3 linked regions of the Xenopus tropicalis genome follow. The main gene of each other region encodes a partner of the protein of the gene in region 3 in a complex. Links are inferred from orthologs where the notes say so. Each region holds a gene or a part of one and is shown on either strand. Other genes may lie near its edges.

Region 1 (3,653 bases), on a different chromosome or scaffold from region 3:
AAAAAATATATTGCATAACCAAGCCCATATGGAAAACCCTGCTTCATCTAAATAAACCATTTTCATAAAAATATACTTTTTTAGTAGTATGTGCTTATTGGGTAATCCTAAATAGAATTTTTTTAAGAATTTAGGGATCATATGATTCACAGTGCACACAAACAAGCCAAGGTAGACATATATGCTGGCCATAGGGGGCGTGTAGGGGCAGATTCTCAGCCTGTGCTTACCCATGTATGCTCTGTGTGGCATTAGCCTAAATGCAAAATCTTTCCTTTGTCACTCTCTTTTTGTGCTGTTTACATAAAAAGCACTTGCAAAGCTTTGAATAAATGTGCATAAATATTGCATATACTGTATCTGCTAACAGAAAAAAGTCTTTTAGCTTGTCACAAAAGCTTTCCTCCCCTTCCCTTAGTCTCTTGTCATGCCTTCTTATAACTACAGTGGTCAGTGGTGTTTTGTCCTCCACATTTTTTTATTGAGGTAACTGGAATGCAGGGAAACATGTGCAGTTTAGTCAAAAACACACCACAGCCTTCCTATGCTATCAGTTGTTTCTTGCTTGTGGTTTTCTTGATTTCCACTCCACCTCTCAGTCTGTACTTTTTTCTATTTGTACTTTTAAGTATGGTTTGTATGCTTCTTGCTATAAAATGTACAGTATTTGCACCTTTTTCTTACATTTATTTCCTATTCCTCTCTCTCTTATCCTTTCTACAACACAATACATAGTCTCTTGTCTATGAAGATTCTCATTCATCCAGGTCATGATATACAGTATCTAGTAGAATTAAGTCTAAAACAACTGGACTTTTCTGAGTTTTTCTTGAAAACGTTTCACCGCTCATCCGAGTGGCTTCTTCAGTTCAAATGACTGGTAGGGAATTCCCCGGTATTTAAACTCTTGATGGTAGTAGAGTCACAGACATCCAATCACAATGGTTCCATTGAACTTGTTCAGTTAGGTGTTAGCTGAAACTGACAGGTGTAAGAAGGTATGATGGTACCAATGGTACCAAGATTCTCATTGATAAACTACCATCAAGAGTTTAAATACCGGGGAATTCCCTACCAGTCATTTGAACTGAAGAAGCCACTCGGATGAGTGGTGAAACGTTTTCAAGAAAAACTCAGAAAAGTCCAGTTGTTTTAGACTTAATTCTACTAGATACATAGTCTCTTGACTTTCAGCTACTAACTAGTCATGGGATTCAGGCCTGGACTGGCAATCTGTTGGTTTGGCAAATGCCAGAGGGGCTGTAACATGTAATTTACAATCTCTATTTAGTGGGCTGATTTAGTGGGCTGATGGTTGTTTGGGCTTTAAAATTACAGGGCCTATTAAATACCAGTCTGTTTAAATACCAGTCTGGTCCTAGTTGGGTTTAATATTTACATGTTTAGCAGAACCTGAAGAATCCACACAGAGATTTAAGCAGGGGCAGGCCAAGGCAGCTGGGCTCCCCCCCCCCTTCCTGCATGCAAACTGATGTTGTGGATGGAGGGGGAGCACGGTGACAAGCTAAAGCCGGGGGTAAGAGATCCCAGACTAGGGGTAGGCAGAAGAGGTATCTGCCTAGCCCCCCCCCCCACAAAAAATTTGCACCCTATGCAGGTGCCTCTTTTGTCTACCTCTAGTTCCGGCCCTGTATCTGAGACTGCAGGGTAGAACTTATCTTTATTGCTGGCTGTTCTCGCCACACACTCTACTCCTCCTTTTTCCGTATGCATAACCTTTGTCGTTAATCCACCCAGTGCTAAGCTGCTAATGCATATTAAAATAAACATTTAACATTCTTGCAGAAATAGATGGAACAACATTACATCAGATATTCAACCAGTGCCGTAACAGAGGAAGCAGACCCCACAGTCGCGGGGGGCCCGAGGCGCGGGGTCTGTTTCCTCCATTTAGCAGGTAAATCTCCGCTCCACGCCAGCTCCAAGGTAGTAGCGCGGGCAGGGAGTGGGGGTTTACAGGGCAGGCAGCGGAAGAGGCATCAGAGCTGAGGGACAATGCATCAGGGCAAGAGAGCCCAGTAAGTTTGCTACTACTGTGCAGGGCCCCTCTGAAGATTTTTTTGGAGGAGGTCCCAGAGCAGTAGAAGTAGTTACGCCACTTTATTCAACTTTATTGAATCGGGTCTTTAGTATTTCATCTTCCAGTGAATGGTGGCCCAATTTGATATCTGTACTGCCAAGGCCATTCTAGCTTAAACCACCAAGGTGGCTTTCATGATGCCTTGCCTTCCCGTGCCAACCGGAGGGGGTCTAGGGGGGCCACATCACTAGTACAGGAAGAACAATTGTACTAGAAGAGCAAAATTTCCAGTTTAAAAACTGGAAATTCAATTCAGGAGGGAATTTTTGCTACCTCTGGTATTCTGCAGGGTGCTGCCGCCATAGGGAGCTAAAGCCTATCATGAAATTGTAATACAAGGGGGAATAACATAATGTTTTTCACCAGGATTTTCATTTTACAGGCAAAGCTGCAGAATTTGACGTGACATTTAGAAGGGCTCAAGGATATCCAGTGGATCTCTACTACCTGATGGATCTTTCCTACTCTATGAATGATGATCTTCAGAATGTAAAGAATTTAGGAAGCAACCTCCTGGAAGCTTTGAACAAAATCACAACTTCAGCACAGATAGGTGATTATTTTATTGCTGTACTATTTTGCAAGTGGGTAAATGTGATACAGGTTTATTATATTTATTACTGCACAATCAATAACTGGTACACACTTGTCTCCAGAGAAATCTAGTACCCTTTGTACTAGAATCAGGGCTGTTTATAGTATTAAAGCTGCAATGTAGTGGAACTGCCACAAACCATAACTAATTATAGCTAACTGGGATAAAATGTGTTTTGCTAAGGTTTTGGTTCATTTGTGGATAAAACGGTGTTACCGTTTGTGAACACACACCCAGAGAAACTGAAGAACCCATGCCCAGAGAGGAATGAGAATTGTCAACCCCCATTTGCTTTCAAACACATTCTCAAACTCACAGAAGATGGAAAGCAATTTCAAGATCAAGTTGGGAAGCAGGGCATTTCTGGAAATCTAGATGCCCCAGAGGGAGGGCTTGATGCTATGATGCAAGTGGCAGTTTGTGGGGTAAGTAAAATAACTAGACTTTATTCAAAGCTTGGAGTTGACAACTCCCGTCTTCCAAAAATAGAGTGGAATAGACACCTGGATATTGCTTATTAATTGCATGCCTTCAGATTAGGTAGATGTAGGAGTTTATTTGACCTAATAAAATCTGCCAAAAGGAAAGAAGAGCTTAATAATATTTTATGCCTAATACTATGTATATGAAAAAGACAGGTTAAAATGTATCCATCTCCCAATATAACTGATGTTTTTAGACTTTGTGGGTTCAAGGTCCACCTTGAAGTCCAGCACTTAGTGAGGCTCCTCCTTAGCCATAACAGGGCTTCAGAAATAGGAAAACACTGCCATAACAGTCAACCTAATATCATTTTAGAGGTATCCACCAAAGCGAGTCATCATACACCCTCATCTATGGATGCTAGCCCCATGGTTTGGAGACCTCTGCAATTTAATAAATGATTGTGAATTTATATACATATTCTTAAATCAACACATACCTTTAAAAAAGTGATATTTACAAACATGTTCTGCA
Region 2 (3,753 bases), on a different chromosome or scaffold from region 3:
CCTTAGATTGTAAGCTCCACTGGGACAGGGACTGATGGGAATGTGATAAGGTCCCCATACACTATAAGATCCGCTCGCTTGGCGATGTCGCCAAGCGAGCGGATCTTCACCCGATATCCCCACCTGTGGGTGGGATCGGATTACATTTGAGGTTATGGGGCAGTCGGTTCGGGGACCGCATCAACGAGCCGATGCGGTCCCCGATCCGACTGGATTTTCTAACCTGGCCGATCGAGATCTGGCCAATTCCAGGCCAGATATCGGTCGGCCAGGCCGCTCTGTTCTTCCCATACATGGGCCGATTAGATGCCGAATCTGTCCAAGGGACCGATATCGGCAGCTATAGTCGGCCCGTGTATGGGGGCCTATAGGGACCTTAGATTGTAAGCTCACTGGGACAGGGACTGATGGGAATAGGAGTGGAGCATACAGCCTTGAATGGTATGCTCCACTGGGGCAGGGACTGATAGGGATGTGATAGGGACCTTCAATTGTAAGCTCCACTGGAACAGGTACTTATATGAAAGATATAGCCTCTCTGTAAAGCCCTCTGAAAATGTTTCACTATATAAATACCAGGAAAGGAATGGGTTAAGCAGTTCCAGCACCTAGGTAAAGTAATGTCAGCCTTTTTTAAACAATAGGCATAGAAAGAATAACCTGTGCTCGTAGTTATAATTAAGCATTTGTCGGAAAATAAATTCCTGTATAGACATAGGAAATCTCATGCTAAATCCCTGGAACCCTAGGGGTGATAATTCCAGGGTTCCCTTATGTCTGCACTGTACTTTGCACTTGTGTACAAGCGGGCTGACCCAGGGCATTGGTGTTATACCAAGGTTATAAGAAGTTTATATAAGAGCAAAGCACCTCTGTAAATAGCTTTAGTGTGCATCTCTGTGCTTGTGCTTGTGCCATGTGAGCCCTAGGCTGTATATTCAATTAAAGTTCAACACATAAACAGTGTCTGTGTCCGTTGACATTGCTGCTTCCCACATGAAAGGCTAAACGTGAGGCGTTATTTATTTCCTGTACATGCTGTAAGGGACAGAGAAGTGGGGTGTTAGGCAGGAATGTGGCAGTGAGAGGGTTAAGAATGGGGTCTGTCTGGAATGTTTGTAGTTACAGGGTGTGAACATGGGGCAGGGAGGAGCCAGGGAATAGGGGTTTGAGTCCTTAGCATTCTGCTAACTAGTTCCTATCAGCTGGCTCACTCACTGGCCAGTGGCAGGGGGGTTTGTGACTAGCTGACCAGGCTTCTCCCCAGCACACACACAACCCCCTGCTCCATACGCCACTGGACACAGCTGGGTGACACTGCCATACTGTGAAGATGAAGCCTGATCTGTATATATGCATTCTGCAACTTCTACTGCTCACAGCTGGAACTTGGGGTGAGTTACCCAATGTGTCTGTCTCTCTGTCACCTTGTCTGTCTGTCTTTCTGTTGCTCTCATTCTATGGCTGTCTGTCACTAAATCTGTATGCCATTCTAGGTCTGTCTGTTTTATATACTGTGCATGTTTGCTTCTTGCCTTATCATTTACTATATCTGTCTGTATGTCTGTCACAGTGGGCCAGTCTGCCTGCCATTCACTTCATCTCCCATTCAGTCACACACACTCTGGTATATCCGTCATCAGCAATGACTATCTGTCACCCACCACGCCTATCTGTTACTCACAATATCTGTCGGTCATGTACCACATTTGTTTCCCTTGCCAAGTCGCCATGTCTGTCTGTCCATTACTCGCTATATCCATCAGTATGTCTCTCATATTGTGTACCTTTCACCATGTCTGACTATCTCTTACTATGTCTGTCTTTATCATGCTATGTCTCTCCAATCTTCGTCAGCTTAATCTGTCTCTGTCTATCTCCCTCCACATCTGTCTGTTTGTCATTTCGGAATAGTCCATGCTTGCATCTTCAAGTCTCACTTGGTATCAGTTTCTGTCATTTCTGTAATTTCTAATTAATCATTTTTATATGCCAGTATAATGCCATTTATACTGCCTCTACTTCCCTCCTGTAAGATTTAACTCTGTATATACAATGTAGTTTCCATTCTCACGCCTTATCTCATTCTGCATACTTTCTGCTGTGAGTCAATGAAACAAAAGCACAGGGGTCGTATCCACCCTGTGTATAATGTAATATCCCCATGTGGGCTTGCTTTGTACACAAGTTTAAAATAGATAGAATAACAAATAAACAGACTGAGATGATAGATAGAGAGATAATAGATAGATAGATAGATGATAGATAGATAGATAGATAGATAGATAGATAGATAGATAGATAGATAGATAGGAATAGACAGACAGATGGACAGACAGGTAGATAGATAGATAGATAGATGATAGATAGATGGATAGAGAGATAGATAGATAGATAGATAGATAGATAGAGAGCTAGATAGATAGATAGATGATAGATATATAGATGATAGCTAGATAGATAGATAGATAGATAGATAGATAGGCATAAACATACAGACTGAAAGACAGATCAGTATTGGCTAAACAGCTCTCTTTCAATGTGGGGCTCTGACTTTGCAAATGAGTAGTTAAGCCAATAATAAATAAATAATAATAATAATAATAATAATAATAACAATATAAAATTGCAAAAGTGCTCTGATTAACATTCTGGGTATGTTCACATCAATACATTTAGTGGTTTATATTCCCTTTAATTTGCTAATTGTTCTTATTGGCCGTCATCTATATCAAAGTGTTACAATTGCAGTACTACAGTGGGTACAGGAAATCGTTGCTCAGTTTGGATGCACTGTGTTCATTTCAGGTGCCAGTATCTGTGCCACTCGTGGGGTAACCTCTTGCCAGAAATGCCTTGCTGTGAACCCACAATGTGCATGGTGTTCCCAAGAGGTAAGGCCACTTATCCAGTCTCCTAACATGAGTTGCCATTGAGTTTTTCTTCCACATTCCAAGCTGCTAAGTTGCTGCCCTTCTGGGGAGGCAACCCACACACATATAAGGGTGCATTTAATAGACCAAAAGCCTAAATGACTTAGCAAAGGTAACCAGGACCAAACTCTGGCTTTCTTAAATCACAGCCTTATCCCTAGCTGCTCAGTCTGATTGAGGCTGATGGGAGTTATAGTTCACTCCAGATGTGGATTAAGTGAACCTTGGGCCCTTGGACAGTTCTCAAGCTGTGGGACCCCTGGGAAATTCATTGCAACAGGGAAATATTGAGCTTCTCATTAGACCGCAGCGCTGCTACCTGATTAGCTGTGATTATATTATATAATGAAATTATATGCCTAAATGGTGTTTAGCTCCTCGACTCCATGGGCCCTGGGACACTGCCCTGTTATAATGCACCACTAATTCATTCAGACGGGCACAGGCACTGTTTCAGAATAAGAACATTTTTATCTATATCCCTCAGCATCCCCAGAGGTATTTATTGGGTGTTTGAGACAAGGGAAAGCCACATTTAGGCCTCTGCCTTCTGCCAGGGTTTTTCTGAACTACAACCCCCAGCATAATAAGTTAAAGGAATCTTTCCTCTAGCTGCGCTGTCTGGTGACTTCAGTGCCTTTTCGCCCATAAGGAGCCCGGCCTTCCTTTCCAGATTCCCCTCAGACTCTCCTAAAAAGGCAATGTTTCCCTGGGTCTGTATTTCACGTGGGGGCAATCCTTCCCAAACACATGTAACAAGCCAAATCCTGAGCCCCGGCCAACAGCAGCCCCCTCCCGCCTCTCTTACACCACTCACATC
Region 3 (3,653 bases):
ATGGCCCAGGCTTGATTCATGGAACAGTGAATAAACCTGCTGTCTTCACTGTGAACACTAAGGATGCTGGAGAAGGTGAAAAGTTAATGCATTTCATTGTCCAACATGAATGCTAGCTCTGAACTGAATGCCATGACTAATCTTTTATTTGTTTCCTAGGTGGCTTGTCACTAGCTATTGAGGGCCCCTCCAAAGCAGAGATCAGCTGCACAGATAACCAGGATGGGACCTGCACAGTTTCTTATCTCCCTGTGCTCCCTGGAGACTACAACATCCTAGTCAAGTATAACAACAAGCATATTCCGGGAAGTCCATTTGTTGCTAAAATAACAGGTAAGTTGTATTGGTGATCACATAAAGCAGAAATCCCCAACCTTTTATAGTCAAAAAGTTTTGGGGAGCAACACAAAAATCAAAAATATTCCTTAAGGTGCCAGTGAGAGCTATTTATATATAACAGGCTATTTGATAGCCCCTATGTTGACTGGAAATCTACACAAAGCTCTGTTTGGCAATTACACTGAGATTTTATGCAAACAAAGATTGCCTTCTTACCAGAAATTTAAAAATAATCGCCTGCTTTGAGGCCACTGGGAGCAACACCCAAAGGGTTGGGAAGCAACATGTTTCTCACGAGCCACTTGTTGGGGATCACTGACCTAAAGCTTCCTGTAACTATAGCACAAGCTCTGAAACCTGATATTTGTGTGTTTTCTTAAACAGGAGATGATTCTATGCGTATGTCCCAGCTGAAGGTTGGGTCTGCAGCAGACATCCCCCTGAACATTGTAGAGACAGACCTGAGCCAGCTGACTGCTACAGTGACCTCTCCATCTGGAAGAGAGGAGCCATGTCTGCTCAAGAGGCTCAGAAACGGCCATGTTGGTAAGAATGATATATGCATGGTGAACTAAATATGCCGAAAATCTGGTCTAATTTAATTTATGTGCCGGTATCATAATCCTCTACACATGTCCTTTTAAGGTCTTTGCTCTAAATAATCATAAGGCATTTTCACTGTACATACAATTTAATGAATTCTTTCTGTAATCCTATACCTTCTTTAATCTGCTTGCTTCTTTTGTAGGCATCTCGTTTGTGCCAAAGGAGACAGGCGAACACATTGTTAGCATAAAAAAAAATGGTATCCACATCCCCAACAGCCCAATCACTGTAATGATCAGCCAATCCGAAATCGGGGATGCCAGCCGAGTGATAGTGTCTGGTCAAGGTCTGACTGAAGGGAGGACATTTGAGCCCGCAGAATTCATCATTGACACCAGGGAAGCAGGTACCTTTTATTAGAGCACCTCTTATACACCACCAGAAAATATAATAACCTCTTTGTTGGATGTCTGCAATAACCAACATGGTTGGTGTAGAAGCAGTTCTAAAACCAAGTCAGCAGGATGACACTTTGGTCTATGTTTGATCACTTTTTTTAATACTCAGCCTTTTACTACTGTTGCCTACTTGCCTTTTTTCTAAAGGTTATGGTGGACTTAGCCTTTCCATCGAGGGGCCCAGCAAAGTGGATATCAACACAGAAGACTTGGAAGATGGGACATGCAAAGTTACTTACTGCCCAACTGAACCTGGAAATTATATTATCAACATAAAGTTTGCTGATCAGCATGTTCCTGGTACGTAGTATTAACACTGATGGTACTTTACAGGGATGAGGAAGGGAATTTGGGTTCTTTGCATTTTGATTCCAAAACACCCTCTGTCCTATAACCTCCATCTATGCCAGTTTCCATAAGCCATTATTTTGCCTTATAGGCAGCCCCTTCTCTGTCAAGGTGACTGGGGAAGGAAGAATGAAGGAGAGTATCACTCGAAGACGCACCGCTCCATCTGTGGCAAACATTGGTAGCCAGTGTGATCTGAGCCTAAAAATACCCGGTAAGATGTAGTTCTAAGATCTGAAATTCATTGTCTAGACTGCCAGCTAATTAATGTCCTCCAACATATTAGGAGTTTGACACACATTAAGAGCTATGATGGGTCATGGCCTTCTCAAGGCGAAAAGTGGTAGAGGGATGATTTTACACATTGTGGCTGTTTTTATTTAGGCAGAGGAATAAATGGGATGCAAATTGTCAAGGAGCCTGTGGGCCAGTTTGTGTCAGTCCTGGTCAGATAATGCATGAACTCCTCCTGCTGTTTTACTCACTGGCTTCCTATCACTTGCAGAGATCAGCATTCATGACATGACTGCCCAGGTCACTAGTCCCTCAGGGAAGATTCATGATGCAGAAATAATGGAAAGCGAGAATAACACTTACTGCATCCGATTTGTTCCTTCTGAGATGGGCGTCCACACAGTCAGTGTTAAGTACAAGGGACAGCATGTGCCTGGAAGCCCCTTTCAGTTCACTGTTGGCCCCTTGGGTGAAGGAGGAGCCCACAAAGTACGAGCTGGGGGTCCTGGCCTGGAAAGAGCGGAGGTTGGAACACCAGGTATGATTTTAAGTTTTTTGTGTCCAAGGGCTGGAGTTAATATTGGTGGATCTAATTTTTTTTTTTTTTAATGCTCTTTACAGCTCCAACATTATAGGATGGATGCCAGACCCCTAGTTAACTGTATTGTACTTTTTACTTTATAGCGGAGTTCAGTATCTGGACCAGAGAGGCAGGAGCTGGTGGTCTATCAATTGCAGTGGAAGGTCCAAGCAAAGCAGAGATTGCATTTGAGGACAGAAAGGATGGTTCTTGTGGAGTGTCCTACATTGTGCAGGAGCCTGGTATGTTTGTTTCACTACTATTGTTCTGAACCTACCTATATTCTCTTCTTCCCTTGGTTGGCAAATATGGGTAGAATGCAAAATGTTTTTTCTCTGGACCTCATTGAACAGAAATGTAATATAATAGGGAGGTCCCTGCTCCAAATGTCTCAATGCGAACGACCAACCCCATTTTTAAGTACAAATTTCTTCCTGCCCAAGTAGAAATTTTATAACTGCAAGTATTCCAGAATGATACATTTTGATAGGTTAGATGTGAAGCTTTATACGGTCTGTTAATTTCCAGTATTTCCTTTTTGTAGGTGATTATGAGGTGTCTGTGAAGTTTAATGATGAGCACATACCAGACAGCCCCTTCGTGGTTCCAGTGGGTTCGACATCAGATGATGCACGGAGACTTACTGTTTCTAGTCTTCAGGTGAGACACTGGGAGAAACCTGTGCCCGCCTCATGAAAGGGCAGAGAATTCACCTCCTGAGCATCTGATTAGTACCCCCATTCCATTTTGATATAAAAAAAAAAGTTTTCCTTTTCTGGCTGCATTCAACGGTCCTAATGTCTTCCTTCCTTCTGTCCCATCTCCTTATCTGGAAGTCATTTTAGTAGGAGGTAGGATTTCCAGAAATACATATATAGGTGGAACATTTTTTTTTTTATTTTTTTTAGAATACTCTTGCAATCCGTTTACATTGTAATCTGCCCATCTTTACTTAACCAAAAGATGTCCTACCAAAAGTCTTTGCAACGTGTTCTCTGTATGGTGATGCCATTCCCCCAGCTTGCTCAGGAGGCTCTCAATGTGTTTTTCTCGTGTCTCTCTTAAAGGCTTCTAACAGGCTGAACTTCTCTATGATCTGAAATATGGCTTGAGTTTAATGAGAGAGATGGTAGGTGGCCAGACTTGTG

Evidence for each region.
Region 1: the proteins of flna (region 3) and itgb2 are in contact, whole or in part, in a crystal structure (PDB 2JF1), measured with the Homo sapiens proteins. The link is inferred for Xenopus tropicalis from reciprocal best matches to the Homo sapiens genes FLNA and ITGB2. Residues at the interface, in NP_001104026.1 of Homo sapiens: Val2241, Thr2263, Ala2266, Gly2267, Ala2268, Gly2269, Gly2270, Leu2271, Ala2272, Ile2273, Ala2274, Val2275, Glu2276, Gly2277, Pro2278, Ser2279, Lys2280, Ala2281, Ile2283, Phe2285, Phe2311; in NP_000202.3 of Homo sapiens: Leu753, Phe754, Lys755, Ser756, Ala757, Thr758, Thr759, Thr760, Val761, Met762, Asn763.
Region 2: the proteins of flna (region 3) and itgb3 are in contact, whole or in part, in an NMR structure (PDB 2MTP), measured with the Homo sapiens proteins. The link is inferred for Xenopus tropicalis from reciprocal best matches to the Homo sapiens genes FLNA and ITGB3. Residues at the interface, in NP_001104026.1 of Homo sapiens: Gly2236, Arg2264, Ala2268, Gly2269, Gly2270, Leu2271, Ala2272, Ile2273, Ala2274, Val2275, Glu2276, Gly2277, Pro2278, Ser2279, Lys2280, Ala2281, Ile2283, Phe2285, Asp2287, Gly2291; in NP_000203.2 of Homo sapiens: Lys742, Ile745, Thr746, Pro771, Leu772, Tyr773, Lys774, Glu775, Ala776, Thr777, Ser778, Thr779, Ile783, Tyr785, Arg786, Gly787, Thr788.

What each region holds. Positions count from the first base shown.
Region 1 is NC_030685.2:55,155,934-55,159,586, reverse strand, and holds part of itgb2 (integrin beta-2), read left to right. Parts: intron 1-2,483; coding exon 2,484-2,654; intron 2,655-2,879; coding exon 2,880-3,121; intron 3,122-3,653.
Region 2 is NC_030686.2:15,368,937-15,372,689, reverse strand, and holds the start of itgb3 (integrin beta-3), read left to right. Parts: upstream 1-1,174; 5' UTR 1,175-1,333; coding exon 1,334-1,394; intron 1,395-2,808; coding exon 2,809-2,894; intron 2,895-3,753. UniProt on the Homo sapiens protein: Integrin alpha-V/beta-3 (ITGAV:ITGB3) is a receptor for cytotactin, fibronectin, laminin, matrix metalloproteinase-2, osteopontin, osteomodulin, prothrombin, thrombospondin, vitronectin and von Willebrand factor.
Region 3 is NC_030684.2:31,813,305-31,816,957, forward strand, and holds part of flna (filamin-A), read left to right. Parts: coding exon 1-75; intron 76-159; coding exon 160-333; intron 334-723; coding exon 724-885; intron 886-1,087; coding exon 1,088-1,291; intron 1,292-1,490; coding exon 1,491-1,643; intron 1,644-1,782; coding exon 1,783-1,905; intron 1,906-2,196; coding exon 2,197-2,463; intron 2,464-2,609; coding exon 2,610-2,747; intron 2,748-3,049; coding exon 3,050-3,165; intron 3,166-3,653. UniProt on the Homo sapiens protein: Promotes orthogonal branching of actin filaments and links actin filaments to membrane glycoproteins. Anchors various transmembrane proteins to the actin cytoskeleton and serves as a scaffold for a wide range of cytoplasmic signaling proteins.